Linked DNA regions of Elephas maximus indicus. The protein of the gene in region 4 binds, or shares a complex with, the protein of the main gene of each other region. Links are inferred from orthologs where the notes say so. Each region holds a gene or a part of one and is shown on either strand. Other genes may lie near its edges.

Region 1 (7,630 bases), on a different chromosome or scaffold from region 4:
TCGTGGACGGTCACTCTCAGGGGACCTATCCAGATGGCGTCCCCCACTCTCTTCAGGCAGCCTTCGCTTCCTAGGCTGCTCTCTGCTGCTGGGAAGATCTCTCTCACCTCTGTCTCGATCCAAGGACCAGCCATCCCGCCTCCGATCCAGGCTATCCAGTGGCTCATAAGCAGGTACAGCAGCAGCTGCAGTCCGTGTGCTGCGTTCTCGGACTGGGGGTGGAGGTGGGACCCAATCAGGGTCTGGATAAAGGTCCCTATCACGATCTCTGTATAGTAAGGGTGGTGTCCTATCCCGAGCACCCCTCAAAGGGTCAGGCGCCCGATGTCCAAAAGCATCTGTCACCAATTCATAATGAGTCAGAGGCAGGGGCTGCAGATACTGCTGCTGGTAACGATGCTCTGTGTCTGCAAAGTCTACTCTAAGGCGACGATCTGGGCCACCAAGGGGGAAGCCCCGCATATGAGTCCAAGCAGCATGAGCTGCATCTAGGCTTTCATACTGGATATATGCCCAGCTGTCCCCTTTGCGGTAGTCTATGGTGCGTATGGTGCCAAATCGGTCAAACTCTCGTGCCAGGGCAGCAAGAGGCACCCAAGGTCCCAGGCCACCTACCCAGAGGCGGGTAGTGGGTGTAGCTTTACCATAACCAATTTTGATAGGATTCCGAATTATAATTTTGCCAGACATTGCTAGTTTGGCTCTGTGAGACATGTCCAGATTCTCAAATTTGAGAAAACCATAGGTACTGGTTTGACCACGAGAAGGGCGTTTGATGTCTACTTCTGTGATGACTCCAAAGCGATCAAAAGCCCTTCTTAAGTCACTCTCTGTCACAGTGATGTCTAGGTTGCCCAAGAAAAGCGTCCGGTTAGCTCGCTGATCATCCTCAGGTGAAATCTCATCCACTTCTCTGAAAGGGGCAGCCCCGGTTCCAGCTCCCACCCTTGGCTCAAGACTATATGCTGGGCGCACTCGCTCATAGAACGGATAATCTCGGTCTCTCTCCAACTCTCGGGGCAACGGTGGCGGAGGTGGAGGGGGCAGACGGCCAAGAGCCAACTGCTGCAACCGGTAGTCTCTGTATCCCAAGGCAGCGCCACCAGGAGAAAGTGACCTTTGGCCTCCACCTCCTCCAGGGGGGTGCCGGTGACCACCTACAGAGGACCCGACCACGCTGGCCGATGGAGGATAAGAATCTTTGTCTAAAGGGGAGCGGCTGCGGCGCCGGCTCACATACACAGCCTCTATCTTCAGAGGCCGGTCATAGAGCACAAGGCGGCCTCTGGCATGCTTGGCCGCCCGCGCGTCCTCCGGCCGCCGGAAGTTCACAAAGGCTACCCGCTCATCCCCGCTGCCAGAACCCGAGAGGTGACTGATTTTGACACTCACATCACCGAAGCGTTTGAATTCGTGAAACAGTCCGTCCTCCACCGCTTCGTCACTCAGCTGGGACCCCAACTCGCTTATCTTTAGTGTCTTGTATTCCCCGCCGTCTCCGCCGCCAGGAGCTGAGGAGGCGGCCCCTGAGGAACGTGACTCCCCGCCTCCACCCCGGGAGCTGCTTCGCGACTCGCCCCCGCCCGAGGAATTTTTGGTGCTTGGGGAGCTATAACTATGCAGGCGGCTACTGGAGGTGCCCCCACCAGTGTCATACTCGCGGCTGCCACCTCGACTGCTGGACTTGTCCAGGTGAAGGCTCCGCCGCGACCCACCGCCGCTCTCGGTCTTTCCGCTGCTGCTCCCATTGCTACCACCAGAGCCACCTAACTTCTTGCCGCGCTCCCCACGGGAAGTCGAGTCCTCACCACCACGGGAGCGTTTGGCCTTGACTGGCGAGCGCTCTTTTCCCTTCATTGTTGCGGGTCGTCGGAGGTCTTCTCCGCGGAGCTGATTAACCCGCCGCCCCGCGCTCGTTTCACACAGCGGAACCGCACGCCGCCATCTTGGACTCCGCCGCGGCAAAGGCTCCCGCCCCGCAGTCTTCATTGGTCAATTAGATCCTCTCTTCTACAGTCTCATTGGAAAGACTATTTGTCTGTCTTTACATCTCCCGGCGCTCCGGGAAGGCGCCCGCCCAACCACTGTTATTGGGCTCCCAACGCCCTAGTCAGAGTACCTCATTGGTTGTATTCCTTGTCTATCTTAACGGTTCCTCGCGCCAGGCTGTAGCTCCGCCCCTCGCACCCTACGGTCACCTGACCCAAAGTCTGGCGGCGTTGATTGGACAAAAAGTCTGCCTTGTAACGGTACTTCTTGAGCGGCGAAAGCAGCGATCCCACCTCCTCATCCCTTTCATTGGTTTATGATCCTGTCCTTTAACCCACTAGTTGGGAATACGGCCATCGGTTCGGGCGATTTTTCCTCTGAGAGGTAGGCTCACAACGATCTCGCGAGAGAGCTCCCTGTTTCGACCCTCTTCTTCCAACTCCTTCGGCGGCTGACAGAAGTTTAAATCTGATTGGATGTTGTCGAGGAAGTTGATAGGCTGAAATAACTGTCCGTCACCCTCTTAAAGGGGTAGGCCCATATACTGAGGCGGCTGACTGAAGGTGAAAGCCTAGAACCCGCGCTTGCTGGGAGACGTCACTTAGATATCGCGAGATGGTGACCACGAGCCCGCCCCGCCTCCTCGTGCTTTCGGCGTTCTCCCCTCAAACATCTGTTCGGTGCCGAGGCGTACTTGGCGGCACTGCGGCCCTTGGAACTCGAAACTTCTGGGCTCCCCACTGTCCTACCTGTGCCAGACGAGGGACTGGGCAGGCCCTCCGGCTGTCGGGTACCACGCGTGCCTCAGGAAACCATCTCGAGGCGCCCGGCAGGCACCATCTTAAGTCCCTCTGGCCCTACGTGAAGAGCCTGAAAAGGCTCCTCCCCCCTGTGCGCGAGAAGGCGCCGCCCGCGGTCACTGGGGTCCCCGGGGCCCGCCCGGCCCGGGAGTTTACAGTTCACAAAAGTGCCGGGTCGGCCCCGGACGGTCTTCTGATCGGCGCGGGTTCTCGAGGTCCCGCACTTATGGAGCAACGCCGGGCTCTTCTTGGCGCTCCTCGTGTCTGCCCAAGTACCCCGGGTAACCGGGGGAAGTGACCGACGCTCCCAGGCCCACGGTCCGCAGGCGTGGCCGGAACTGTGGGGCCACCGCAGACGTGTCTTTAGGCTTCCTGTTTTATATTGCAAACCCATGTGGATTTTGTACTCTATAGTGCGTGTATAGCTAATCTTGTTTTTATGACTCTCCCCGTAAAACCATCGAGTGAAATTGACGCTCCGTGCAGATTATGTTTGTTTTTATGTGACTCTCCCCGTAAAATAATCGAGTGAAATTGACGCACCGTGTTTTTTTTTCTGTGACTTCTCGTACCGCCCGGCACTCCTGGTTATTCGATATTATAATCCAGTAGCACAGCCACCTTGCTGGTTCTCTAAATCTCTCTGCCTCTCTCAAACATTGTCTGCATCAAAAGTCAACTTTTATCCTTTCCATAGACCTTTATTGTGTCAGAGGAGCCCTCGCAGCACGATGGTTAAGCGCTGGGCTGATAACCGAAAGGTCGGCGGTTGGAACCCAGCCTCCGCTCCTGGGAGAAAGATAGGGCTATCTGCTTCTGTAAAGCTTACAGCTTTGGGAACTCTCTGTTCTATAGGGTCACTATGAGTCAGCATCCACTCGATGGCAGTGGACTTAAATTGTGTCAGACAATAAGGCACCTGTGCAAGATGCTGGTGTGCCAACAAGATTACAACAGGTACAGCCTCTGTTCCTGCGCTCACCGTCTGGTGAAGCGAGGTAGTGCTGAGTTCACAGAGGTTAGGCTTTCTGTAGTCCTCCCAGGTCTCCGCCAGGCAGAGGTTATGAGGATTCCAGTGTAGATGCCCTCTTCAGCCACATCTCAAGATCCAATCAATCTGTTTAAACATGACATTTTTAAGGTAACTATGATGTTACGAAAATCAAAACCTGAAGCTGAAAATTTAAGATTAGGGACTGCAGCATATTTTGCTCTACCTTAGGTCTCCTCTTTCCAAATAATCTTGAGGAAAGTGAAGATTATATTTTTAATATTATATGTGTGTTATAAATATTTGATTTAATGTCTTGATTATATCAAAGAGACTTGAAGCCCATGTTTAAGTGGATATGTAAAGCATAAAAATACCCAGTAAAATAGTGTGTAGATATCTTCATATTAAAACTAGCTACTAAAAATTTCATAAGGTATAAAACTGTATAGTATGCTACCATTTATGGTTTAAAAACGCACGCACATTGCACATTCATTCATAGAAAATTCCTTGACAAATACACGGAATATTACCAGGATTCCCCTGAGGAGAGAGACTGACTGCAGGTCTGGGATGGGAGAGAAATTTCCCTTTTCATTGTAGACTCTTATCTATTATTTTTCATGCTCTTTCAGTTTAAAAAATAGCAATTCTTTCTAGCTTTCCCTTAAAAAATTATTTTTATGGAAAAAGTAAAAAATATGCAAAGGTAGAATACTATAAAGAACCACATGAACTTAACACCCAATTTCAATAATTGTCAAATCACGTCACACTTGTTTCTTCTGTGCCTTCTTCCCAGCTTCCTCCTCTCCCATTATTTTGTTCCGGGCTTACTCGCTGTATTTCCTGCCCCAGACATAGAATCAGCCATTTCTCCAAAGAGTTCTGGTTCCTTTTTGGGGAAAATGGTATTTAGAGATAAAAATCTCAATGCTAGTGGATTAAAAGAATAAAAAGCAGTGTTTATAAAAGCACAAAATGCTCAAAGAAAAAGATTTACATGGTTAAGAGGTTTTAATCTGTTTCAAGGTTGTATTAATACAACACAAAGGAAACAAGCCATTATCTGATTACTCAATGCAATAACCAGTCCAGTGAAACCAGGCTCCAGAGTGACTACTTTTGGTCAAAACTGACCTGCTTAGTTGACTCACTGGTCAAAGAAAAAGATAAGGACCAAATCAGTATAGTTTCCTCTACAGGAATGAGGGAGAGAAATCAAGGAATACTGCCTTGCTGAACAGGTACCAGGATATGTGGCAATGCCTGTCACTCTGCCAAGTTGGTGGCTTGAAATACGAAGGAGCTGGCAGGGGCAGGAAGCCTTGCCTAAGAGGACTGATACGTTGCCTGAAGCCAAGAGGACTGGTAAATTTAATGGTTAGAAAATGTCTAAATTTCATTACCAGTAACAGCGCCAAAATAGTCTGTGATGTGTGTTCGTGTCCATGATAGAACTGAATATGTTGGATGTGTGCTGTAGTTAAAGTGAGTGATTTACTTTGTTTTCATTTCCCTTGTGTTCCTTAAAGCATGAAGCTGCTTGGTGACATTTTATCAACCTGTGTTTATACATGTGCTTTAGGGAGGGCCGAGAAAGGATAAAAGCGACCCATGGTTTCAGCGCCAGGCTTGGAACTCTTTTTCTGGTGTTGGTGATGGAGTTGTTGAAGTCCAGTCCAAGTTTTCATCTGGTCTCCTTGTGATCAGCGGCCAGGTTTGTGAGGAGAGCTAACCTGGGTGAGGAAGTTCTTTCAGTAGTCATGAAGACAGAGTTAAACTACCAAAAAATTCCCAGAGCACCACAGTAGCATGTTGATCTCTCCTTTCAGTGCCCTGCCAAAACTCAAGAAATAATGTTCAAGAAAAGCTCACAGCCCATTTTGGTGTCAGGGTGGCCCCTTGGAGCTGTACAAGGCCTAGAGAACACAGCCAGGCAGGAGAGCAGCTACCATTAGCTTTCTATGTGAAGTACTTTTTCCATCTCCTTTAAAATCAGTTTCAGCTTTAAAAGGAAAAAGCAAAATAAAAGGCATAAACATGGAAGACTACTGTGCAGTTAAAAAATAGCAGAATGCTTTCAATCAATTATCCTTCTTTCCATTCCCCTCCTTCCTAGTTTTTTTTATTTTTATTTTTTATCTTCAATACACACACAATTATGATTGCTATATGAAATTTATCTTGGAAGCTGAGAGCCCTTTGATTTCCTGGCAAATACAAAAAGGACTGGATCTGGGAATTGAAAAAGAAAATTTTCCACCCACAATAGTAGATTAAATTTTTCTGTTTCATCTCCTTTCATAAAGTGAGTGGTCTCCTGACAGCGAGGTTTATTTTATTTGGTGTACAAGAAAGTATATTTTTTTTACCCACAGGCATATATTAAATCCTTAAATCAGCAAACAATCATTTAGAACCCAGTTTGCATTATCAAGTCACTTCTTTGTGTATTTTTTTTTTTTTATGATTTTTATTGTGCTCTAAGTGAAAGTTCTACTCTGTCCTATAGGGTCACTCGATGGCACTGGGTCTGGGAAGTGAAAGTTTACAAATTAAGTCAGCCTCTCACATAAAAACTTACAGACGGCTTGCTACTTACTCCCAATTACTCTCCCCCTAATAAGGCAGCCAGCTCTCTCCCTCCACTCTTTCTTTTCATGTCCATTTCGCCAACTTCTGACCCCCTCTACCCTCTCATCTCCCCTCCAGGCAGGAGATGCCAACATAGTCTCAAGTGTCCACCTGATTCAAGAAGCTCACTCCTCACCAGCATCCCTTTCCAACCCATTGTCCAGTCCAATCCATGTTTGAAGAGTTGGCTTAGGGAATGGTTCCTGTCCTGGACCAACAGAAGGCCTGGGGGCCATGAGCACCAGGGTCCTTCCAGTCTCAGTTAGACCATTAAGCCTGGATTATGAGAATTTGGGGTCTGCATTCCACTGCTCTCCTGCTCCCTCAAGGGTTCTCTGTTGTGTTTCCTGTCAGAGCAGTCATCGGTTGTAGCCAGGCACCATCTAGCTCTTCTGGTCTCAGGATGATGTAGTCTCTGGTTCATGTGGCCCTTTCTGTCTCTTGGACTCATAATTACCTTGTGTGCTTGGTGTTCTTCATTCTCCTTTGATCCGGGTGGGTTGAGACCAATTGATGCATCTTAGATGGCTGCTTGCTAAGAGATAAGACCCCAGATGCCACTCTCTAAAGTGGGATGCAGAATGTTTTCTTAATAGATTTTACTATGCCAGTTGACTTAGATGTCCCCTGAAATCATGGTCCCCAAACCCCTGCCCCTGCTACACTGGCCTTCGAAGCATTCAGTTTATTCAGGAAACTGCTTTTGGTTTAGTCCAGCTGTGCTGACCTCCCCCTGTATTGTGCATTGTTTTTCACTTCACCTAAAGTAGTTCTTATCTACCAACTAATTAGTGAATACCCTCTCCCACCCTCCCACCCTCCCACCCTCCTCTCGTAACCACAAAAGAATGTTTTCTTCTCAGTTTGAACTATTTCTCAAATACTTACAATAGTGGTCTTATACAATATTTGTCCTTTTGCAACTGACTAATTTCACTTAGCATAATGCCTTCCAGGTTCCTCCACGTTATGAAATGTTTCACAGATTCACCACTGTTCTTTATCGATGTGTAGTAGTCCATTGTGTGAATATACCATAAGTTATTTACCCATTCATCCGTTGATGGGCACCTTGGTTGCTTCCATCTTTTTGCTATTGTAAACAGTGCTGCAGTAAATATGGGTGTGCATATATCTGGTCATGTAAAGGCTCTTATTTAGGGTATATTCCATGGATTGGGATTGCTGGATCGTATGGTAGTTAAGCGCC
Region 2 (8,020 bases), on a different chromosome or scaffold from region 4:
TTCTAGGTGTCTAGCTTTACTTTTTAACAAAGAATTCAGATCACAAAAATGGAATAACTGAAATGAAATAAAATTAATCTAACAGGTATCTGGAGTTCAATCTTGAAGGGAAAAAATGAAGAATATAGAAATGAAAAATGAAGTGCTTATGAGTCTCAATTACAATTTTTCAAAATCAATGTTACCCTCCATTTTCCAGATGATAAAATGATTGAGTTATTAGGTGATTATCTCAGGTTAAAACAGCTATTCATTAATAAATCGGCGGTTAGGACTCTGCCTCTTAAGACCTAGTAACTGATGGAGCGGTTAATGGCGGTGGCTGAACAACATAACGGACATATTTAACGTCGCTGAACTGCACATGCCAAGACTGTTGAAGTGGCAAATGTTTTGTTACCTATATGTTTACCACGATAAAAAATAAGTAACCGATGAAGATGATAACTCTCCCACTCTGCCTATCCCCAATAATGATTAGATTTAGCTAGCTGAAGTAGAGAAAATGGAGGTAAAGAAAAGCAAAACAGAAAAAAAATCAAAGCTAGCCAATTTACCTACCTTTGAGCAACTGAAGATAATTCGTTAAAACATGGTTTTAAAATTACATAAAGGCTTGTTATTTTAGTCAGATATAATATACCTCAAGTGTAGAATGTCAGAACCACCATCTACTCCTGATGCCTCAACACTAAGAAACAGCTTAGGATGGGAGTCCAGCTTTGGTTGGCTGGCTGCCTCGCATCCCAGATCTCAAAAGTTCCCTGGCTCTTCTCTCTCAACAGAAAGGCAGACCAGCCAAGGCAACTTCAATAAGAAGTCTGTAGATGGCTGAAGTTTATCACAACTGAACAGAAAAAGCCAATGTCCTGCAGGAGCTTGGCACTGTAGTAGAAAGGACACCACTTGGGAACTGGAAGATATCTTTTACTAACTCTTGTATCTATCAGCCATGTGATCTGGAGCAAATCACTTACCTCTCTGGGCTACGGTTTCCACATCAGCTAAAACGAAGATACAAATATTACCTACCACACAAAGTGCTACAAATCTCAACACTTGCAATGCCATAAAAATGCTACGCAAACAAGGGATTTTTCTAAAAAAAAAAATACTAATAAAAACATAAAAGGCAACTTTAACGTCCATTTAAGAAAGGTAGGTTTTGTTCTGCTAAAGAATCCACAAACAAAATTTAAGGTGGTCCATAAAAAACCAAAAACAAGCCTGCTGCTGTCACGTCAATTTCCACTCATAGCGCCCCTACAGCGTGGAGCACAACAGCCCCACAGGGTTTCCAAAGAGCGGCTGATGGATTCAAACTGCCGACCTTTTGGTTAGCAGCTGAGTTCTTAACCACTGTGACACCAGGACTCCAAGATAATAATATACATAGTTGGACAAGTCAAAATCGACCTGATGGCAATGGGTTTGGGTTTGGTCTTATAAAAATTGTGAAGATTACTAAGTAAACAATATTCTGAAACAAATGCTATACTACATACATGCAAGACTGTAAGGGACTTTGAAAGCTGTAATGTGCTATAAAAATGTAATTATTACAACTCATCTCAGTATCAGATTACCATAGGTTTTCTACATATACACCAACTCATTTTTGACCAACACAACACCGAAGTATTTTGAGCAAACATGACTCAAAATTAGGAAAGCTAGATACCACGGATTTCTATAAATTAGATGAAAAAATATTAGATGAGCCAGGTAAAAATCGGCAGTGCCTGGGACACACTAGCATTAGTACTTTCGTCCTTAAGGACTCAAGCTCCCCTCCCCCCACTGAGGTGTGTGTGCAAATCCCAATCATTAAGCTTTCAGCTCAAGATAAGGCAAGATCCAAAAGCATTCTAGAAACACACCTACCCAAACCTTAAATTTCAGCATCGACTTTGTCGGCAAGCCATGCTGTGGGCTGCAATCTCTATCCCCAACTTGCCTAATCAGATGTTAGTGAATAACACGATTAAATAAATGAAATTTAGCAATCCTAAAAAGACTTTCGCACCTAGTTTAATGGGGGTGATAGACCAGTGGCTTCCTCAGCAATGCAATTAACTAAATTCTAAAGCACGGAAAACAATAAAACAGGTATTAAAACATCTCGAGATTATAACATGCTAGTCAAAATATTTTTCTACCTCGGGCGAAATAATCGTTTTTTAATTTTATAATCACGGTAAATTCGGATTGTAACATAATTCCTTTGGGATCAAACATCCAATTAACTTCCTTTATCACCAAAACAAGAACTTAAGCTTTTCTGCTATATGTTCCCCACTGACTCATAAAAAATGGTAAAAAGATCCTTTAGTAACATTCTTCCGGGAATCCAAGGTGAGACTTAAAATCTCGAAATAATTCAATAAAGAACTGTTTCCTTACCCAGCATGCATGCCAATCATTAAAAATGGAACCCTCCCGGACCTTGTCCCTGCAGCCACGACCTACTGCGTGATGCGCGCTGCAAGAGCCAAGGCTGGTTCTCCCCCGGCACAAATGGCCGAGGGAGGCGGGAGGTCCGACCAGGGCGGCCCCGGCTCCGTGCCGACCGCGCGCCCGGGCCCCGGCGAGGACGGGGAAATGGCCTCGGGGCGCCAAGTGGGCAGCGCCAAGGGAGGCCGGCGTCCAGCGGCCGGGCCCCGAGCTGCCCGGCCTGCGCGCCGCTCCCCAGCCGGGCGGCGGAGAGGCCGGCGCCCCGACCTCGGGCTCGGCGGCAGCGCCCGCGGCCGCACCTACCTCCGCAGGCGGCCCGTCGCCCAGGCCGAGGCCGCGCTCGCACCGCGGCGGCCGGGCCCCGCCGCTCCTCCGCCGCCGCAGCCCGCGCGCCCCTTTATTTGCGGGTCTCGCTGCCACAAAATGGCGCTGAGGGAGGAAGCGCGGCCGGCCCCCGCCCCCGCCGCCCGCCCCGCCCCGCCCCATCGGCCGCGCGCCGCCATGTTCGCCCGCGCCGCTCACCACAGGTTGCCTCCCGGGCGCCGCTGCACCGTCCGCCCGCCCGCCCGCCCGCCGCGCCGCGCCGCCCCGCCGGCGGGAGGAAGGGCGAGGAGCGGCGGCCCCGGCGGAGTCTGGGCCTGGAGGCGCCGACGGCAGAGCTCTCCCTCGCGGCCCGTCCGGCTCTATCAGGTGTCCCGCGGCCGCCGGAGTCCGGGCGGGGAGGGGAGGGAGCCGGCGCGGCGGGGGCTGGGGGTCAGCCGCGGAGCATCACGGGAAGGGCGGCGGGGGTCGCGGCGGCGGCGGCGGACGCGCTCACCGCTGCCACCTGCGGGTGCGGCGTAGCTCCGCGGAGGGATCTGGCGCCGGCGGCGCGGTGATTGGCCGCTTGGGTGTCAGCGCGGCTTGGGTGTCAGCGCCGCTTGGGGACGCTTCCGCGAGCTAGCGGCCAGGTGTGGGCTCAGGAGGGAGGCTACCGGCGGACAGCTGTGTGAGCGCCGGCAGGGAAATCGGCACCGCTAAACTTCACGCTCTGTTTTGAGGCCGTAAGAGACCGATGCCCTTCTCTCATCGTGTAATGCAGCCGCGTGGCCGTTTGGTTCGTCCCCGCCTTGACATCCCTGGGGGAGAGGCCGAGGAGCTATTGTTCTGTAGCCGACGGAGGTTGTTGCGGGTGTCAGCAGCTTTGGGGGCAGCTTGCTAGCTCAGAAACGAGGGCAAGGCGAGCCCTGTGAGGTTTTAGTGCATCCGAGGAAATAAGTATTGTAATGTAAATATATTCCTTAAGCGTCTGGCCTATTTAGTTAGAACGGTGGTTACCTGGAAGATTTGAAATAGTCAAACACAAGACTGGTCAGGCAGTTCTTTTGATTGGTGTGCTCATAGCTGGCTCTACCAAAACTCTTGATCCCCGAAGAAGGTGTCCTGGAATGAAGTGTCTTATGAGGCTAAGTTTAAAGTACACCCTAGATAGTTAAAGGAGTCATGGTATATTCCCAGCAGATCAGATCAGACTGGAGAGTATATTTTCAAACTACATTACAGGAACTCTTAAAAACAAAAGAAAAAGACCAAAGTCCTGAATGAAAAACGGGTAAAGACATGAACAGGCAGTTCATAGAAAAAGAACAGCCATGGTCTTTAAACATGAAAGGATGCTCAGCCTCATGTATAAAAATGCACATGAAGTCACATGCCTTAAAGTTACAAGTCTGTGGAGAAACTGGGAATGGAAAATGATTCATGTTTTGTGGAGTACCAGAAGTACATGTACATTTATCCTTATTGCAATTCCACTTCTAACCCTAAAGTTATCCTGAAGATCCCAGTCCAGTTGCCGTGGTCTCCACTGTGACTCAGGGTGACCCCATGTGTGTCAGAGTAGAACTGTGGTCCACAGGGTTCTTTCTCAGTGGCTGATTTTTCGGAACTAAATCGCCACACCCTTTTCCCCAGGAGCCTCTGGGTGGGCATAAACTTCCAACCTTTCTATTAGCAGCTGAGTGCATTAACCTTTTACAACACCCAGGGACTATTTTGAAGATACATCTCCGCCAATAAAAACAACAAATTGTTGGTGCTGGACTACTGAAGGTTAGTGGTTCAGACCCACCAAACAGTACTGCAGAAGAAAGGCTTAGCAATCTATTTTCGTTAAGATTACAGGCAAGAAAATGCTATGGAGCAGTTCTGCTCAGTAACGTGTCAGGTCACCATGAGTCTAAATCCACTCCCAGGCAACAGGTTTGGTTTAGGTTTCATTCACCGCAGTGCTATTTATCATAGCTAAAGTTTGGAAATAACCTGAGTGTCCATTAATAGGAAACTGGCTGGCATTTGTACACACACATACACATTTTTATTTTGCAGGAAAAAAAAATTGAAAAGAGACCCTAGAAACTAACAAAAAGTTATCTATAGAGGGTGGGGGAGGTAGGAAGTAAAGGGATTAGAGATAGAGGCAAGACATCTCTTGACTTTGAACTTCTAACATTTTTACATAGTTAAAAAGTAAAACAGGAAACAAAGTAAACCCCCAAATTGAAAGCTAGTTGAAACAAATGAACCTAACTTCAAATTGGTGGTAACTGTTACAAAGAGAAAAGGATTCCCCCCCCCCCCAGGACTTTTGACCATAGCATTCCCACAGTATGTCTTTGCTGGGATATATTCTAAGAGTGAAAAAGAACAGCAAAGGGAATCTTCAGCTTCACTCAGTGGTTTGTAGTTGTAATTTTGTTACTGTGCCTTTGAAACTGTGTGTTGTGTGATAACATAAAATGTTATATAAAAAGACTTTGAGTACAAGAGGAAACCCTGGTGGTGTAGTGGTTAAGTACTATGGCTGCTAACCAAGAGCTCAGCACTTTAAATCTGCCAGGCATTCCTTGGAAACTCTATGGGACAGTTCTACTCTGTCCTATAGGGTCACTATGAGTCCAAATTGACTCCAGGGCGGTGGGTTTTTTTCAGTACAAGAAAAAAAAGATACAATGTCAAAAGTTCAGAAAAGTCCCGTAATGTTAAATTGGAAATATCAATTTGAACACATGATTAAAAAAATAAAATTTCTAGTTCTGTACACTGAAAGAGGCTAGAAGTACTCAGGTGACCAGCTGTCCCTGTTTGCCCAGGACTAAAGATTTTCCTGTGAGGCTGGACTTTCCATGCTAAAACTGAGACTGTTTCAGGCAGGTGTGCCTTGAGTCAATCTCGTTTGCGATATAAAAGAAATTAAGCAAGTGAGCAGCAGAGATGGGGGGAGAGAGATGCCAAGCCACATGAAGATTGCCTAGGAACAGAAGCTCAGAAGAGACCAGGACCTTCCTCCAGCACCGGCAGAGAGAGAAAGCCTCCCTAAAGCCAGCATTCTGAATTCAGACTTCTACCCTTCTAAACTGTGAGAAAATTAATTTGTTTGTTAAAGGCATCCACTTGTGACATTTCTGTTGTAGCAGCAGTACAGGGTCACCATGAGTCGGAATTTTTTAGCAGCACTAGGTAACTAAAACACCTGGAGATCTGTGGTTCATGCAGTGCTTTGAACTAGTTCAACCGGTTTGAACACCTGCTGCAAATTCCTTTGCCACCCCAGATATGCTGAATCACAATCTACACTTTAACAAGCTCCCCAGGTGATTCTTATATATGATAAAATTTGGGAGTCACTGTTCTACTAGTGGAAAGTCTGGTTGTGTAGTGGTTAAGAACTACGGCTGCTAACCAAAAGGTTCAACAGTTCAAATCCACTAGGCGTTCCTTGGAAACTATGGAGCAGTTCTACTCTGTTCTGTAGGGTTGCTATGAGTCGGAATCAACTCAACGGCAATGGGTTTTTTTTTTTTTTTTGTCTCTAACCAGTAGTATTAGCATCATCTGGGAACTTGTTAAAAATGCAGTTCTCAGCAGGAGTTCGAACCAGAAGGAACTGGCTCAAAGCTCTAGGTTCATCCCCAGTGGATGAGAAAAAAAACCCTTTACAATAGGATGCCAGCTAATAAATGTAGAACAAATGATATAATTAGAAAATAACCATTATGCAGCCCTCAATGAAATATTTGATTTAGGCAAGGATTACCAATGGATCAAAATTTTGGTGAAAAATGGCTGGGAAATAGAATATCCAAGTTGCGCCCAAGTATTGCCCCACAGGTTACTCCTTTGACTATAAAGAGGAAAGTACACTTGTATAGTGGAGCCATCTAGTGGCCATCACCGGAACCATGTGATAAAATTTAGTGTAAGTCGAGGGCACTGGGCACTGGGTGATAGGAGGAAGGAACTCTGGTGGTGCAATGGTTAAGCCAGGGCTTTGAACAGCTTCCTTCAGATTTGAACCCCTGCTCAGAATTTGCATTTCCACCCCAGACAGACTGAATCACAATCTAGTTTAACAGGGTCCCCAGGTGATTCTCATGTATGATAAATTCTCATGTATGGTGCTCAGAATTGGTCCCTAACCAGCAGCACTGCCACTGCCTGGAAACTTGTTAGAAATGCAAATTCCCAGGAGGGAGGTGAACCAGAACGAACCGGTTGAAAGTCCTGAGTTAAGCACTCAGCTGCTAACCAAAATGTCTGCAGTTCAAACCCACCAGCTACTCCGCAGGAGAAAAGACCTGGCAAAATACTCCCATAAAGATTTCAGCCTAAAGGTCATGGAAGCTCCATAGATAGATCCAAACTCCCTGAGGGACCGAATGACTGGGCTGAGGTTGTGGGGACCGTGGTCTCGGGGAACAATGCTCAATTGGCATAGCATAATTTACAAGGAAAATGTTCTACATTCTACTTTGGTGAGGAGCGTCTGGGGTCTTAAAAACTTGCGAGTGGCCGGCTAAGATACTCCACTGGTCTCGGAGCAAGGGAGAATGAAGAAAACCAAAGACACAGGGAAAGATTTGTCCAAAGGATTAATGGACCACAACTACCACAGCCTCCACCAGACTGAGCCCAGCACGACCTAATGGTGCCCGGCTACCACCACTGACTGCTCTGACAGGGGTCACCGTAGAGGGTCTTGGACAGTGCTGGAGAAAAATGTAGAACAAAATTCTAACTCAAAAAAAAGACCAGACTTAACTGGTCTGAGAGAGACTGGAGAAACCCCGAGAGTAGGGCCCACGGGCACTCTTTAAGCTCAGTAATGAAGTCACTTCTGAGGTTCACCCTTCAGCCAAAGATTAGGCAGGCCCATAAAACAAAACAAGACTAAAGGGGCACACCAGCCCCGGGGCAAGGACTAGAAGGCAGGAGGGGACAGGAAAGCTGGTAATAGGGGACCCAAGGTCGAGAAGAGGAGAGTGTTGACATGTCGTGGGGTTGGTAACTAATGTCACAAAACGATATGTGTACTAATTATTTAATGAGAAGCTAGCTTGTTCTGTTATCTAAAGTACAAGTAAAAAAAAAAAAAAAAGATTTCAGCCTAGGAAACCCTATGGGGCAGTTTTTCTCCGTCCTATAGTGTCACTGTGAGTAGGAATTGGCTAGACAGCACACAGCAACAATAGTAGGACAGGAGCCCTGGTGGTGCAGTTGTTAAGTGCTCGGCTGCTAACTGAAAGGT
Region 3 (7,114 bases), on a different chromosome or scaffold from region 4:
TGCTCCCACCGCCGCCGCCGCGAAGGTACACGGGCTCCACCTTGAGCGGGCGGTCGTAGAGCAGCAACTGGCGGGCCAGGGCGTGCTGGCGGGCCTCGCGGGCGTCCTGTGGGTGCCGGAAGTTCACGTAAGCCACACGGCCCAGCTCGGGCGTGTGCGACAGGCGCAGGCTGATCTCGCCGAAGCGCTTGAACTGATGGAAGAGCCGGTCCTCGAGGTGCTCGGCGGGCAGCGCGGGACTCAGGCTGCTGATGAGTAGCGTCTTGTACTCGGGCGCGGCCGCCGACGAGCCGGGGCCCGCAGGCTCCGCTCCAGGCGGTGGCGGAGGCGGTGGCAGCGGGGACGCGCGGGGTGACGCGCCCGAGGCTCCCGGGTCCCCGGAGGCCTTGCCGCCGCGCCCCCCGCCGCCGGCGCCCGAGCTGGAGGAGCGGCCGCTGCTCGCACGGTGATTCACGTCCCCCGCGCCGCGGCCGTCGCGATGTCCGCCCCCTCCGCCGCCGCTGCCGCGGGGCTTGTCGCGGGCCCGCGCCGGAACGGGGTGCTTGGCGCCGCCCGAGGCCTTGTGCGCCGCCCGCCGCCCGCCCGCCTCCGCTTCCCGCTCGCGCTCCCGCGGTCGCTTGGCCGACGATGACGAGCCGCGCCCGCTCGGGCTCGAGTCTCGCTCGCTCTGCCGCTTCATGGCGCTGGCGCTGCAGGCGGGCGGGCGGCCCGCAGCCCCTTCACAGCGGCGGCGGCGGAGGCTGAGGAGGAAGCGCCCCCGGCGCCGCCATCTTGGACAAAAGGACTCGCTGCGGCGGTGGCGGCGGGGCGGGGCGGGAGAGGCACCGAGGGGCTGGACGTTGCGTTATCAGGCCGCGCCGGCAGCGTCACGTGACCTCATGGCGGGCGGGGAGGAAGCCGCGCCGGGCGTGCGTCATCAGGCGACGTCGTCTGTACCACGTGACCCCCGCGGCCAGTGGGTAAGCGGGGTCCAGGAGCGCGCTCTGGCGCCACCACGCGGCCGAGACTGGGGCTACCTAGAGCGATCAGAGCCGTGGAGACAGTCGGGCTGACTCGCTCCGCCTTGAGTCCCAGAGAATCCGGCCGGACGTCGGCCTCACATGTCGCGCCGGGTCTGGTCTCCTGTCGCCGGCGCTGATTGGAGCATGAGTGGCAGCCTCCGTGGGTGCTGGATTCCGGGGCCTTGACCTAGCAGACTCTTTACGTGGTGGTCCCGAATTCCGGGACTAGGCTTGAAAAAAAGGCCGCCCCTAATCCCCGTCACGGTGACTTCTGCCCACCCAGGTGTCCAGGTTGACAGCCCGAGGGCTGACGCATACCCTTACCCAGAAGGAGCCCACAGCCTACATCCTGCGCACTCAGGTTCACCTGCAGCGCTTTCAGGAATGGTCATGTGGCCCATGGCTGTGGCTGCAGGAGGCAAGGCCGGTCTTGAGTTCAGGCATAGAAACCACAGACCCACAAACCTTCGTTTCACTGATCGAAATAAACTCTTTGGCGTCACTGGGCCCCACCCTTTGCTTTGGGCCTCCCGGCAGACAAAGAGCTAAAAAGGCAAGGCTACCCTGAGCCTAAAAACAGGAGCCTCGCCAAACCTGCAGGGAGTTCCAGCACTTGGCAGAGCCTTCTGTCCTGACTTCACCTGGCCCGTGCCCTCCTGTCCACCTTGTAGGGCAGAGCCTCTTTTCCTTCCCTTGTGCCCAAGCCCATTGGGAAAGCTTTCATTCTCCAGGAATTGTTGCTGGAGCTATCGCTGAACCTGACGCAGCCTCAGCCACAGAAACTGTGGTATGAGGAAACTTGCACTTCAGGCTTTCCCTCTTTCCCAACCAGAAAGCAGCCTCTGGAGTGGCTGATGGGGAAAGTAGGGGATGGGGGTAGGAGCAGGACACCTTTAGTGGTGCATAGTCTCTTAATACCTGCTTCCAAAAAGAGCGACACCAACATTCTCCACAAATAACCCTGGGGCCTGTGAGGCTCCGTTTTCTGTTCCCATATTCAGTGTGGCCTGGAGGACACGGAGGCTGCAGGCACACATCAGATCTGGGGTGGTGGCCTAAGACAAGTCCACCAGCTACAGCCACACTTTCCCAGCACCTCTGGGGGGCTGGGGACACTTACTGTGCTAGTCAGACCTCAACAGCCCATGTAATTCCCCCAAACAGGGGGATCTGGGCCCTGAGAAGTGCCTTAACTTTCCCTTCCTCTCACATGTGCCATTGCAGAGCTACAAAATGTGGGAGGTGTACTGCCAAGCAGTAAGAAGCACCCTTCAAGCAAACTGAACTTAGACACCAAAGACCTCATTTCTTGGAAAGCACTGCTTCTTATTCTCTCTTCAGGCATTCTCTACAGCAGCAGAGGTGCCTCCACTGAGCCAAGCTCATGCTGGCAGCTGGGTTTCCTAAGTGCCAACCCCACACAGACAGCAGCTAAAAAACCATACTCCAGGGGACACCATGAGGGCAAGTCCTCAGAATCTCAACTGTTAAACAAGGCAAAAGGCAGCTGCCCACTGCCTCTGTTCAAATCAATCTCCGCAGGTCTTGCAAAATCCCAGTTAGGCATCAGAGGCTTGGAACTGGCACCAGACCACAGACCCGGACAAGCACGTTCGTGGCCAGCCCAAGAGTACCTTTAGGAATGTCAGTACTGAATAGACGGCGTTCGAAGTCACCATCAGAGAAAACCAAACTCCAAGTACCCTCCAGCCTGCTCATACTGAACCCAATGCAAACCCCCTCCTATGTTCATCACACTCATTTCTCCCCTCCCCACTCCCGCACCCTCCCAGCAACAGCTGTGCAGCCTCCAGCCCCTCTCATTGGGTAAAACACTGGGAGGTGGGGTGCCAAGCCCAGCCTCCTCCCCAGGCTCCATTTAGCTGGGAGGGGGCCTGCTACCCTCCAGTCCTTCAAGACCCAACACATGTCAGCTGGCCTCAGCCCATGTCCTGCCTTGGTGCTTCCAACACTGGTTAGTGGTTGAGGAACAGGTGGGAATATATTAGAAAATTTTTGGCAAACTGGAAAGCATCTGCTGGCGAGGTCCTCATTATGGAGTGAAGCCCTACTTCAATATTCGCGTTAATTCTCCAAGAACTAGAAATTTTTTTCCTTTAATAAAAAAATCCCAGACACACTTTCAAGTCCTAGAGTAAACCAGCAACAGAATGAAGTGAATCCCCCCACAGGGGTGCTGTCGAGCCAGCATCATCAGGAAAGCTCCAGGCTTCATACCTGACATTGTCAGGAGCCCGATTAAAAAATAAATTACAAAAAGGCTGCTTGGGAAGAGACAGAGGAACTGTTTTTTTCTCCCCTCCAGTGCAGCAGGGGTCAGGCAGACTACAAATCAGTCCGTGAACTGGCTGCCTTGGGGGCGTATTTAGGCATTAGTTCGTTAATCTTCCGGATATAGTCGGACTTTTCTGCACAGCCTTTGCACGTCTCCCCCCAGTCGTCCAGGATCTTTTTCAGCTCTTTAACTCGGAGCTTCTTCAGGTCCGCTGTGCTCAGGTCGATCTGCTTGTCTGGAGGAGAGAGCAGGGAGAGTGACCGGCTGGTGAGAGTGGCCACTACCCCACAGTAGTCCCAGGTCAGGTCATTCCTGCAAGGCCAACCTATCCCTTAGAACATGCGGCCCTCCTGGTTTGTAGGGGGAGAGAGATTCCCAGACACATACAGGTGTGTCAGTGCCCACTGCCCCTGAGAGAAGAGGCTCAGGCCCCTTCATCAGGAAGGCTGGCCTCATGTCGCAGCGTCCACCAGACACGCAGTGTTGCCAGGGACAGGGATGGAGGCTACACGGTCCTTACAGGAGGAGCACGGCTCCCACCCCAAGTGCCTCTCACAGTCACAGGAGAGATCAAGTCTCTGCAGAATGGCAGTACCAAGCTATGATGGAGCAGGTAGCTCTCCTAGCCCTGATTTCCCAACATCAGTCTGGTTAGGCCCTTGAGGCAGGAGCTATTCTCCATGACTGCTGTGTCCACGACCCAGATGGACCTCTACCAGGATGACTCTCAGGACCAGGCATCCCTGACACAAGCAGGTAAACACAGACCCATGGACGTTCAAGTCATAATAAAATATGTTGGCGCCGTCACAGAAGAGGACAACTATCCTTGGCTCTGACTCTTTCATACTCAAACACAGGCCTGGCTATGTTTGTGCAACCAGACTGACTCAACAAGAGATGCTGTGGTTCCCCCACTCTTGGGCTTGCCATGCCTGTGTGGACAAGAACAATGGGTCTTCAGCTCATGTTCCTTCTCTGATCAAAAATCTCTAATGGTCCCTACTTCACTCAGACTTGAAGCCCAAATCCTTTCAGACCTGCTCACTCATCTGTCACCCCACTTTGATCCGCTAACTAGCCTCATGCTAATCCCACACCTCCTTCAGAGCTTTGCCGAAATGTCACCTCCTCACTGACATCCTGCTGTGATGAACAGATCACCTCCCTCCCCCAGCATTTAGCACCATCTATGTTTTTTTTTATGGTGGTACAAACGGTTAACACGCTCGGCTGCTAACTGAAAGGCTGAAGGTTTGAGTCTACCTAGAGGTGCACTGGAAGAAAGGCCTGGTGATCTACTTCTGAAAAACAAGCCACTGAAAACCCTAGAACGCAGTTCTACTCTGACACACATGAGATTGCCATGAGTCGGGTCAACTCGATGGCAGCTGGTTTACATGTTTACCATACCGTATAACCCACTCACCATGGCTCTAGTTTATGATGTGCCCCCTCAACTACAAAGTAACTCAACGAGACCTGGCTGCAGAAGCTGTGCAGTGTTTGTTAAATAAGGCCGGGAAAGCACTCACCATACTTCAGCTCGCAGATCTGGCTGTCTTTCTTCTTGAGCTTCTCACAGATCTTCTCCACAGGGATGTGGTGGGCTAGGGGCTTAGACACCTCATTGATGATCTTGGTGGCTGCATCATCCGTTGCCCCTATGTAGTAACACTGCAGCAAGAAAGGACAACAGCCTTCAGGAGATGTCACATGAGAGCCATCTCCTCCAGAACATTTTCCTTCTCTGCCAGGGCCTCATTTCCTGGTGCCTGCCTGCACTGGCACTCAGATGCAAGCCAGTATAAACTCCAGACTCTTAACACCTGTTTGGTCCCAGACCTGATGGCCACCGGATGAGCTTAAAAGTCACCAGGGTTCAAACTTTTTAACAGACAAACCACATGCTACCCAAAAATAAATAAGTAAATAAAGCTACAAAAGCCACTGCTTCACTAGGGGCCCTTGCTCTCAGTTTGGGCCTGGCTGACCCTGTTTACACCTCATTACCTTCTCCTTCCATCCTCACACATGGTAAGCCCATTCTGGCCTCTGGGCACTGGCAATGACTGTTCCCTCTGCCTGAGATGCTCTTCCCCAACTTCAATGATGAGCCTTCCTCAGAGAGCTACTTCTTGACCACTCTGTTTAAATCAGTACCACCCCCTCCACTGTACCACCTGGGTCCATTCTCTTCATGGCATCCAGCCCAGTCATTGTTTGTCTGTCCAACTGTCATCTCTCCCCCAGTAATCTCAGTGACCAGCACATAGTGGGTGCTCAGTAAATACTAAGAGGAGAAGATATCTCAACGGCAGAATACACTTCAGAAAGTGCTTGGGTTCTGTGTTCTGACAGACAGCTCTCCTAGCACACAGGTGGGTGGGGCCTTCTCAAGAGGCCTGTGAAGCCAAGGGTTAAACAGGGGCCAGGACCAGCTTGGGAGGGTCACCAGCTACTCACCAATCGGTTTTCTTTCCCTCTTGCTTCACGGCAGAAACTGATAAGTTCTTTTTCAATAGTGGCTGGTGAAAATGCAACATCTTTGTTTTTCAGATCCTGGTAAAATCTTCCCAGATAAGAAATGCAAACTGGAAAAAAAAAAGGGAAGGGAGATGCTCAGCAACCACCAAGGGCACCCCCATCCACCAACAAGTAACTGTCAGCAATTCTAATGGGAGGCACGGAGATGAATCACTAGAGGTTCGTGTTTCTATCACCGAGTTTTCTCAGGTGGACAGAGTCCGGCTCGAAGTTGCTGGGGTTCCCTGATCCACCTGGGGCATGTGGGGTACGATCACCATCCCAATGACCCACAAACGATCTATGACCTCATAAACGGACAGGCTGGAGGCCAAGAAGAAAAACGATCTTGATGCATCTTATTTCCAAATACAACACCGAACCCCGTAGTGCAGCTTCCTGACCCCAACTCACGGGGCCCCGACTCGGGAGTAGCCGCTCCCGAGAGCATCTGACCAGTGATGGGAAGGACAAGAACTCCAGCGTTATTGGAATTTCAAGCCAAGTTTTCAGGGCTATCTAGTCCCAACTTTTGGCCGTCGGACCAATCAATGTTCTGTAGGCCCGGGAGTGTCTGCCCCTCCTCGGGTGGACCTCGCAGGGATCGGCCGCCCCCGCCCCTTCAATGGTCTTGTTGGTGTCGGGGCCGCCGCTAGGCTGGACACGCCGCGCGGACTCGACCCCGCCGCACCTTCGCAGTCTCCGGGCCGCAGCGCCCCGCTGCCCGGCAGCACGCTCAGAGCCAGCGCCACCGCCAGCCCGTGCGTGGCCCACATCCTCCGCCTTCGTTGCCACCACTGCCGCCGCCGCTGCCCGACTAACCGCGCCCGCTGCGCTGCGCTGCGCTGCGCTGCACCGCCTCCAGGTCCCGGCCGCGCGCCGCGGCTCCCCATTGGTGGGTGGCCATCGCGCCCTCCCACACGCCGCGCTCCCATTGGCCCAAGGGCCTCGGAGCCCAGACGGTCGGCTCCACGCTACCCTTCCCCATTGGTTGGCAGCGCCGCCCGCCCTAGGCCCAAGACAGTTGTCCGCCGCTGATTGAACCAGGGTCTTCCGCAGGAAGCAGCGGCGGAGGCGGCGGAAGTGGGATGAGCCGCCATTTTGGACAGGGGCAGTGGCCTTACCGGCAACCGGGCGTTCCGGGCGGAAGTGGGATTTTGTGCCGCCCAGTGCATGCTGAATTGGGCTCTGCCCTGGGCTCTAACCTCGCCCTAAAAACTTCGGGAATTTCCTCGCCCAGGGCCCAGACTCACGGAAGGCTCAATAGGCTTCGTTCCTTTTTTTTAAACAA
Region 4 (7,143 bases):
ACACATTTACATCTTTATCAGCCCAGGGTCCAGTCAGGAAAACAGAAGTCATTTAAAGTATTTGAAACAGACAACATTTACTATGGAGAATTGGTTACACAGGTGTTGAAGGCTAGACAGTTCCTGGGTGGTACAAATGGTTAATGGACTCACTGCTAACTGAAAGGTTGGTGGTTCAAGTCCATCCAGAGGCTTTAGAAGAAAGGCATTGCAATCTACTTCTGAAAAAACAGCCATACTAATCCCTGTGGAGCACAGCTCTCCTCTAACACACATGAGGTTGTCCTGAGTCAGAATCATTCCACTGCAACTGGTTTGGTTTGTTTTTGAAGGCTAAAAAAACAAAAAGGGGAAGGTGAGATTAAACCATACATTTTTGACTGCAAGAAGTGGCTACTAGTGCTAAAACTGGTGAAACAGAGGGAAGGGGTGATATTATCAGAGCCCAAGAGCACACTCACTACTGGGGGTATAAAAAACCCCAAAACAAAACCAAAGGTTACCATTGAGTTGATTCAGGAAAGACAGGACAGCCAAGGAGGAGAAGTAGCAACTGGTTCTGCAACTCTGTAAGAAGTGACAGCCACTTCCAGGGATGCCAGAAGCAGGAAAAGAAGTGAAGAACAATAGCTTCTCCCCACCTTCCATCTTCTTATCTCCATCTGTGCTTCCTCTTGGCAGAATTTTATTGGAAGTCATCTGACAAAGAAGTCTGAAAAATGTAGTTTGTAGATTCCTAGCCCACCATCATCAGAAAGCAGAATTTGACTTACTTGGTCTTCAGTCTTTGACTCTAATACCTATCAAAGTACCTGCCATGTAAAATGTCAATAAACATCAAATAAGTATTTTAGTGAAAATTCCTATTCCCATCATTGATAAATAGCTGAAATCAGTACCCAACTTAAATGACTGGCATGCAAAGTAGTACAATGGAATTTTAAAGAAACATACTTTAAGTCATAGATACAAATTTAAAAAAAAATCCAAACCCACCACCGCTGAGGGGATTCCTACTCATTATGACCCTATAGGACAGAGCAGAACTGTTCCATACAGTTTCCAAGGTTGTAAATTTTTACCAAAGCAGACTGCCGCATCTTTCTCTTGCAGAGCAGTGAGTGCTTAACCACTGCACCACCAGGGCTCCTACACACATATTATCTTTTATAGAATAGTTCCCATTACTCAAGGAATTTTTAGAGCTCCGCTTTTGAAATTTCCTTTTAAAGCTAATTTTTTAAAAAACACATGAAATGCGTGATAAATTACTAGAATCTAATATTGCCCACTTTGGGCCTAGCCTGACTCACCTGGTTTTGATCTGGAAGATTTATCATTATTTGAAAAAACTAAATCCACTCTCAAAGAATAAACTTTGTTATTTATTTTGGCAAGTACTTGCCACAAGTTCCAATTAAACTTGAGGCAACAGGATGCCTAAACCACCTTGGCCACTTGAGTTTGGAACAAAATGACAAACGTGGTGAATAACAATGTTAAAGTTTTTAGTAAGACTTTGGTCTTTGCTGCCTTCCTAAGAGAGAAGAATCACCTCCCCTCCCCACCAGGGTATTTATTTCCATATCCCAGGGTTATTTTCTGCTAAGATAAATGCAAGGCAGAAAAAGGGGTCTTATCTAGGACACAAACCAAGGCACACTGTACAATCGCCAACCCCTCTTTTCTAAAGGGAAGAATCCATAAAGTGCATTATGGTAACAACAGGCAATATCTCAAGAGCTAGTGAAACTTGCCCTCGAACGTCGAGCAGCTAAAGCAAAAGGAAGAATTGATGAAGTAAAAGAATGAACAGAAGATTTCAAAGGGCGGCTCGAGAAGACAAAGTGTTATACTGACATGTGCAAAGAGCTGGAGATGGAAAACCAAAAGGGAAGAACACGCTCGGCGTTTCTCAAGTTGAAAGAACTGAAATAAAAATTCAAGCCTCGAGTTGCAATAGTGAAGGATTCTGTGGGGAAAATATTAAACAACGCAGGGAGCATCAACAGAAGATGGAAGGAATACACAGAGTCATTATACCAAAAAGAATTAGTCGATGTTCAACCATTTCAAGAGGTGGTATATGATCAGGAACCGAAGGTACTGAAGGAAGAAGTCCAAGCTGCTCTGAAGGCATTGGCAAAAAACAAGGCTCCAGGAATTGAAGGAATATCAATTGAGATGTTTCAACAAATAGATGCAGTGCTGGAGGTGCTCACTCGTCTATGCCAAGAAATATGGAAGACAGCTTCCTGGCCAACTGACTGGAAGAGATCCAAATTTATGCCTATTCCCAAGAAAGGTGATCCAACCGAATGTGGAAATTATAGAACAATATCATTAATATCCCATGCAAGCAAAATTTTGATAAAGATCATTCAAAAATGGCTACAGCAGTATATCGACAGGAAACTGCCAGAAATTCAGGCCGGTTTCAGAACAGGATGTGGAACCAGGGATATCATTGCTGATGTCAGATGGATCCTGGCTGAAAGCAGAGAATACCAGAAGATGTTTACCTGTGTTTTCTTGACTATGCAAAGGCATTAGACTGTGTGGATCATAACAAACTATGGATAACATTGCAAAGAATGGGAATTCCAGAACACTTAATTGTGCTCATGAGGAACCTTTACATAGATCAAGAGGCTGTTGTTTGTACAGAAGAAGGGGATACTGATTGGTTTACAGTCAGGAAAGGTGTGCATCAGGGTTGTATTCTTTCACCATACCTATTCAATCTGTATGCTGAGCAAATAATCCGAGAAGTCGGACTATATGAAGAACAGGGCATCAGGATAGGAGAAAGACTCATTAACAACCTGCGTTATGCAGCGGACACAACCTTGCTTGCTGAAAGTGAAGAGGACTTGAAGCACTTACTAATGAAGATCAAAGACCACAGCCTTCAGTTTGGATTGCACGTCAACATGAAGAAAACAAAAACCCTCACAACTGGAACAATGAACAACATCATAATAAACAGAGAAAAGACTGAAGTTGTCAAGGATTTCATTTTACTTGGATCCACAATCAACAGGCATGGAAGCAGCAGTCAAGGAATCAAAAGACGCATTGCATTGGGCAAATCTGCTGCAAAGGACCTCTTTAAACTGTTGAAAAGCAAAGATGTCACCTTGAAGACTAAGGTGCACCTGACCCAAGCCATGGTATTTTCAATCGCATCATATGCATGTGAAAGCTGTACAATGAATAAAGAAGACCGAAGAAGAATTCACACCTTCGAATTGTGGTGTTGGCGAAGAATATTGAATATACCGTGGACTCCCAAAAGAATGAACAAATCTGTCTTGGAAGAAGTGTGGCCAGAATGCTCCTCAGAGGCAAGGAGGGCGAGACTGCCTCTTACATACTTCGGACATGTTGTCAGGAGGGATCAGTCCCTGGAGAAGCACATCATGCTTCGCAGAGTACAGGGTCAGCGGAAAAGGGGAAGACCCTCAACGAGGTGGATTGACACAGTGGCTGCAACAATGAGCTCGAGCATAACAACAATTGTCAGGATGGCACAGGACTGGGCAGTGTTTCGTTCCGTTGCGCATAAGGTCGCTATGAGTCGGAACCGACTCGACGGCACCTAACAACAGTGAGGTGTGCAGAGCACTGACAGAAGGGAAAAGTAAAAAACAACAACCTTAATAATAATAAACACTTCTATAGCGCTCTGCGCCTCCTTACTATTTATACAAACTGTTCATTATTTCAGTCTTCACAACGACTCCATGAGGCTGGCACTCTTATTTACTCCCATTTTACAAACGAAAAAAACAGATTTACGGAGGTGACTAACCAGCCAAGGTCACCCAGCTAGTAATAGGAAAAGGTTCAAGGCAATATGGCCGGAGTCTGCTCTCTCAGTAAAAAAGCAGATACTACATGTAACAAGTTTTAAAAGTAACTGGGGAACTAACGGAAAAGAGAAGCAACAAAAGAGCTCACATCGGAAGAGGCGTGGATATATCAAGAGAGACACCAGAGACGGGACCTGACATCGCTGCTCACAGCGCCTATCAGGCTTCCGAGACCCCTCCCCCAGTGCCCCGTCCCTCATTGGGCCCCTTCCAAGTAGCGTCAAATTGTAGGCGGGACTTCCGGGTACAACGGAGCCAATTCCGGCCGAGCCGGAAAGCCCTTTGAAGAAAAGGCTAGGGGTTACCCGCCCGCCTGAAGTCCCTGGCGAATTTTGTGTTCCATAGACTTGGAAGAAAGATTGGGCGGGGGTTAATCTACGCATTGGCAAGTTTTCAGGGTAGTGGAAAACAGGAGTTGGGATATGGACAGCCGCTTGCAGGAGATCCGGGAGCGGCAGAAGCTACGGCGACAGCTCCTCGCGCAGCAGGTCCGCGCCCGGGGTGGCCAATGCGGGGAGGGTTCGCGAATGCGCGTGCGCGGCCGCCCTCTCCCCCTCCCCTGCCCTTCGTCCTGTCAGCGCTCACCTTGTCCGATCATTCCTGATCCGGAGACCCTGACCCTTGGATCTCCCCTTGTTCTCTCAACCCCTGCTGTGCCCCGAATTTTTTTCCCATTCCAGCCGCTGTGTGTGTAGTAATGTTAAACTAGACGCCACGATTGATCTTCAGCAACATCTATCGAATGCCTTCCAAGCTTCTGGCACTGTGCTTGATAGTGGGGATATAAAGCTTTGGTTTTTGTAAATAAGTTATCACAGTTGATGCAATGAAAAGTGACTTATTCCTTAAATATCGCTTTGCTAATTTTTTTTAAGTGCTCTTCTTTGTCTTGTTTTTTTCTCGGAATCAACACCTAAATCCTGAGATTGTGGCTTCATTGTGAAATGGGTGTATTTTGGGACGGGGGTATCTACTTTAAAGACTACATTGAAAGGAGCCTAAGTGTAAACATTAGATTCTACATTTTGTGTATTGCAGGCCACTGAGCAACGTATACTAGCGTCATCATCACCCATAAAAAAATAGTATTTAAATTTTTACTCTCTGTCAGTCAAAACAGCCCAATGAAATAGGTAGTATTATTCTCTTCACTTATCAGAGAACAGAACAGAGGCTCCAGAGGTCAAGTAATTTTGCCCCGACTCACTCATAGCTGGGCCAAGAATTTGAAACCAGGTTTGTCTCTCCAAAGCTTACCTTCTAAACCACTCTCCTTCACTGCTTCTTGTGTGTGAGTACATTAGTACATAAGACCATACTAATCTTGCTGATGAGTAGAGTATACCAAAAACCAAACCTTTTGCTATCGAGTCGATTACGACTCATAATGACCCTGCAGAAAATACAGATGGTGCTACCTTTATGTAAAATCAGAGGGTTTGTTTTCCATTCTGCTGTTCAGATTAGTAAAAGTGATGGGTAAAATGAGGTGTCTTGCTGTTATTTTTCAATAGTAAATTTTGGTTTTAGCTACAAGAAGTCTGAAACCTGTCTTTTAAAAGCTGATGAAAAGACATATGATATGGTATTTAACATGTTATTTGGAATCAGATCTAGTCCTGTCCTGTACCATCCTGAACAAATGAGGCATCCTTTCTAAGCCTTCTTTTTCCCTACTTTTTTAATCATAATTGTCTGCAAAATGTTCAGTAGATCTTTGTTGCCACCAGTAGTTTTTACTCCTCAGTTTTGAATTCAAATCTCTAGAAGATTTGGCTCAAAATACATTCATAGAACAATTTGTTAGTGCTTTAACTATGTTCCAGGAGCTCTAGTAGGCCTTCGCAATTCAACTATGAATAATAGTCCCTACCCACAAAGAACTTACATAGTACTACAGTTTTATAATGGCAGCTGTATTAAATCCCCTCCAGCTATGTGTCAGACTCTCTGCTAAGCTGTGTACTTATATGTCTTCAATCCTACAAGTCAGATGTTATCTGAATTTTATAGATGAAGAAAATAGAGCCCCCCCCCCCCAAAAAAAATTGTTACTTGCCCAAGGCCCCAAAGCTGGTAAATGTGAGAGCTGGGATTTTAATTTAGGCCTTGCCAGGCTCTTTCCAGTACACCTAGCTGCCTCCACTATAATCAGTGACAAACTTCCACTTTACCAACAAATTGCAGAGCGTCTTTTGCCTAGTTTTCTCTGTATGAACAAGATAGATTGCTTTTATTATTCTCCAGAACTTGATTTGTGCACTATATGCTTTTTTATGCTTTAGTATTATTATTTTTAAAGTCTTTTTCTTACCTGCCTTCTGAATTCTATCCATCCTCCATGGCCCAGTTAGGTTAGAATTTGGTGTTGGAACCTATTCTGATCTCCCTGGCTTAGGCTCTTCTTCCTTTGAGCTTTCATTGTACCTCACTGTCGAGTCCACTACTACATATTGTGTGAATTGTCCTGTTTTTGTTGTTAGTTGTCATTGAGTTGATTCCGACTCATGGTGACTTCATGTATGCAGAGTAGAACTCCATAGGGTTTTCAAGGTTGTGACCTTTTGGAAGCAGATCGCCAAGCCTGTCTTATGAGGTGCCTCTAGGTGGGTTCTAAACACCAACCTTTTGGTTAGTAGTCGAGCACTTAACCGTTTGCACTTGTGGATTGTCACATAGACTATAATAGTTTGAGTACAAAGTCTGTATGTAACTCCTGTTGAGTAACCTCTTCCCACCCAGGATTGTTTCTTTCACAAAGCAAGATTTTAATAAACATTTGTTGAGTGATGAAATATCAGACTAGAGCACAACATGTGTATGATTTGCTTGATTCACTTTTGTCTGCTTAGTGAAGCCTTTAGAGGCAAAAAGTAGGCCTGGACCATGATAATAACAACTGATGCTACCACCACCAATTTGTGCCTTTTGTTTATTTAACTTCAAACAGCATACGTGGTCCTGAGAAGTAACTCTGTTTCCAAAAATTAAATATGCCTTAGGAAGTTATCAAATTGTTAGAATTCCTCAGATAAATCTATTCAGTGCCACCAACATAATGGAAAATCTGTTATTGACTTGGTTAAGTGATACAGCTGCTAACCAAAAGGTTGGCAGTTCACATCCACCAGGCGCTCCTTGGAAACCCTATGGGGCAGTTCTGCTCTGTCCTGTAGGGTTGCTATGGGTCGAATTCAACTCAACGGCAGTGGGATTTTTTTTATTAACTTGATGTGGGCACTCTACAATTTTTTTTTTTAAATGTTTC

The links.
Region 1: METTL14 (region 4) and RBM15 share a complex: the UniProt entries of both Homo sapiens proteins name them as parts of the WMM complex. The link is inferred for Elephas maximus indicus from reciprocal best matches to the Homo sapiens genes METTL14 and RBM15.
Region 2: METTL14 (region 4) and WTAP share a complex: the UniProt entries of both Homo sapiens proteins name them as parts of the WMM complex. The link is inferred for Elephas maximus indicus from reciprocal best matches to the Homo sapiens genes METTL14 and WTAP.
Region 3: METTL14 (region 4) and RBM15B share a complex: the UniProt entries of both Homo sapiens proteins name them as parts of the WMM complex. The link is inferred for Elephas maximus indicus from reciprocal best matches to the Homo sapiens genes METTL14 and RBM15B.

Annotation. Positions count from the first base shown.
Region 1 is NC_064821.1:170,959,543-170,967,172, forward strand, and holds the start of RBM15 (RNA-binding protein 15), read right to left. Parts: upstream 3,009-7,630; 5' UTR 1,990-3,008; coding exon 1-1,989. UniProt on the Homo sapiens protein: RNA-binding protein that acts as a key regulator of N6-methyladenosine (m6A) methylation of RNAs, thereby regulating different processes, such as hematopoietic cell homeostasis, alternative splicing of mRNAs and X chromosome inactivation mediated by Xist RNA.
Region 2 is NC_064819.1:232,092,489-232,100,508, reverse strand, and holds the start of WTAP (pre-mRNA-splicing regulator WTAP), read right to left. Parts: upstream 3,008-8,020; 5' UTR 2,977-3,007; intron 2,858-2,976; exon of another isoform or gene 2,758-2,857; intron 2,669-2,757; exon of another isoform or gene 1-2,668. UniProt on the Homo sapiens protein: Associated component of the WMM complex, a complex that mediates N6-methyladenosine (m6A) methylation of RNAs, a modification that plays a role in the efficiency of mRNA splicing and RNA processing.
Region 3 is NC_064838.1:55,572,229-55,579,342, reverse strand, and holds the start of RBM15B (putative RNA-binding protein 15B), read right to left. Parts: upstream 3,013-7,114; 5' UTR 680-3,012; coding exon 1-679. Other genes in the region: MANF (mesencephalic astrocyte-derived neurotrophic factor), read right to left, coding at 3,348-3,532, 4,833-4,974, 5,764-5,891, 6,515-6,599. UniProt on the Homo sapiens protein: RNA-binding protein that acts as a key regulator of N6-methyladenosine (m6A) methylation of RNAs, thereby regulating different processes, such as alternative splicing of mRNAs and X chromosome inactivation mediated by Xist RNA.
Region 4 is NC_064823.1:30,926,371-30,933,513, reverse strand, and holds the start of METTL14 (N6-adenosine-methyltransferase non-catalytic subunit), read left to right. Parts: upstream 1-4,129; 5' UTR 4,130-4,297; coding exon 4,298-4,363; intron 4,364-7,143. UniProt on the Homo sapiens protein: The METTL3-METTL14 heterodimer forms a N6-methyltransferase complex that methylates adenosine residues at the N(6) position of some mRNAs and regulates the circadian clock, differentiation of embryonic stem cells and cortical neurogenesis.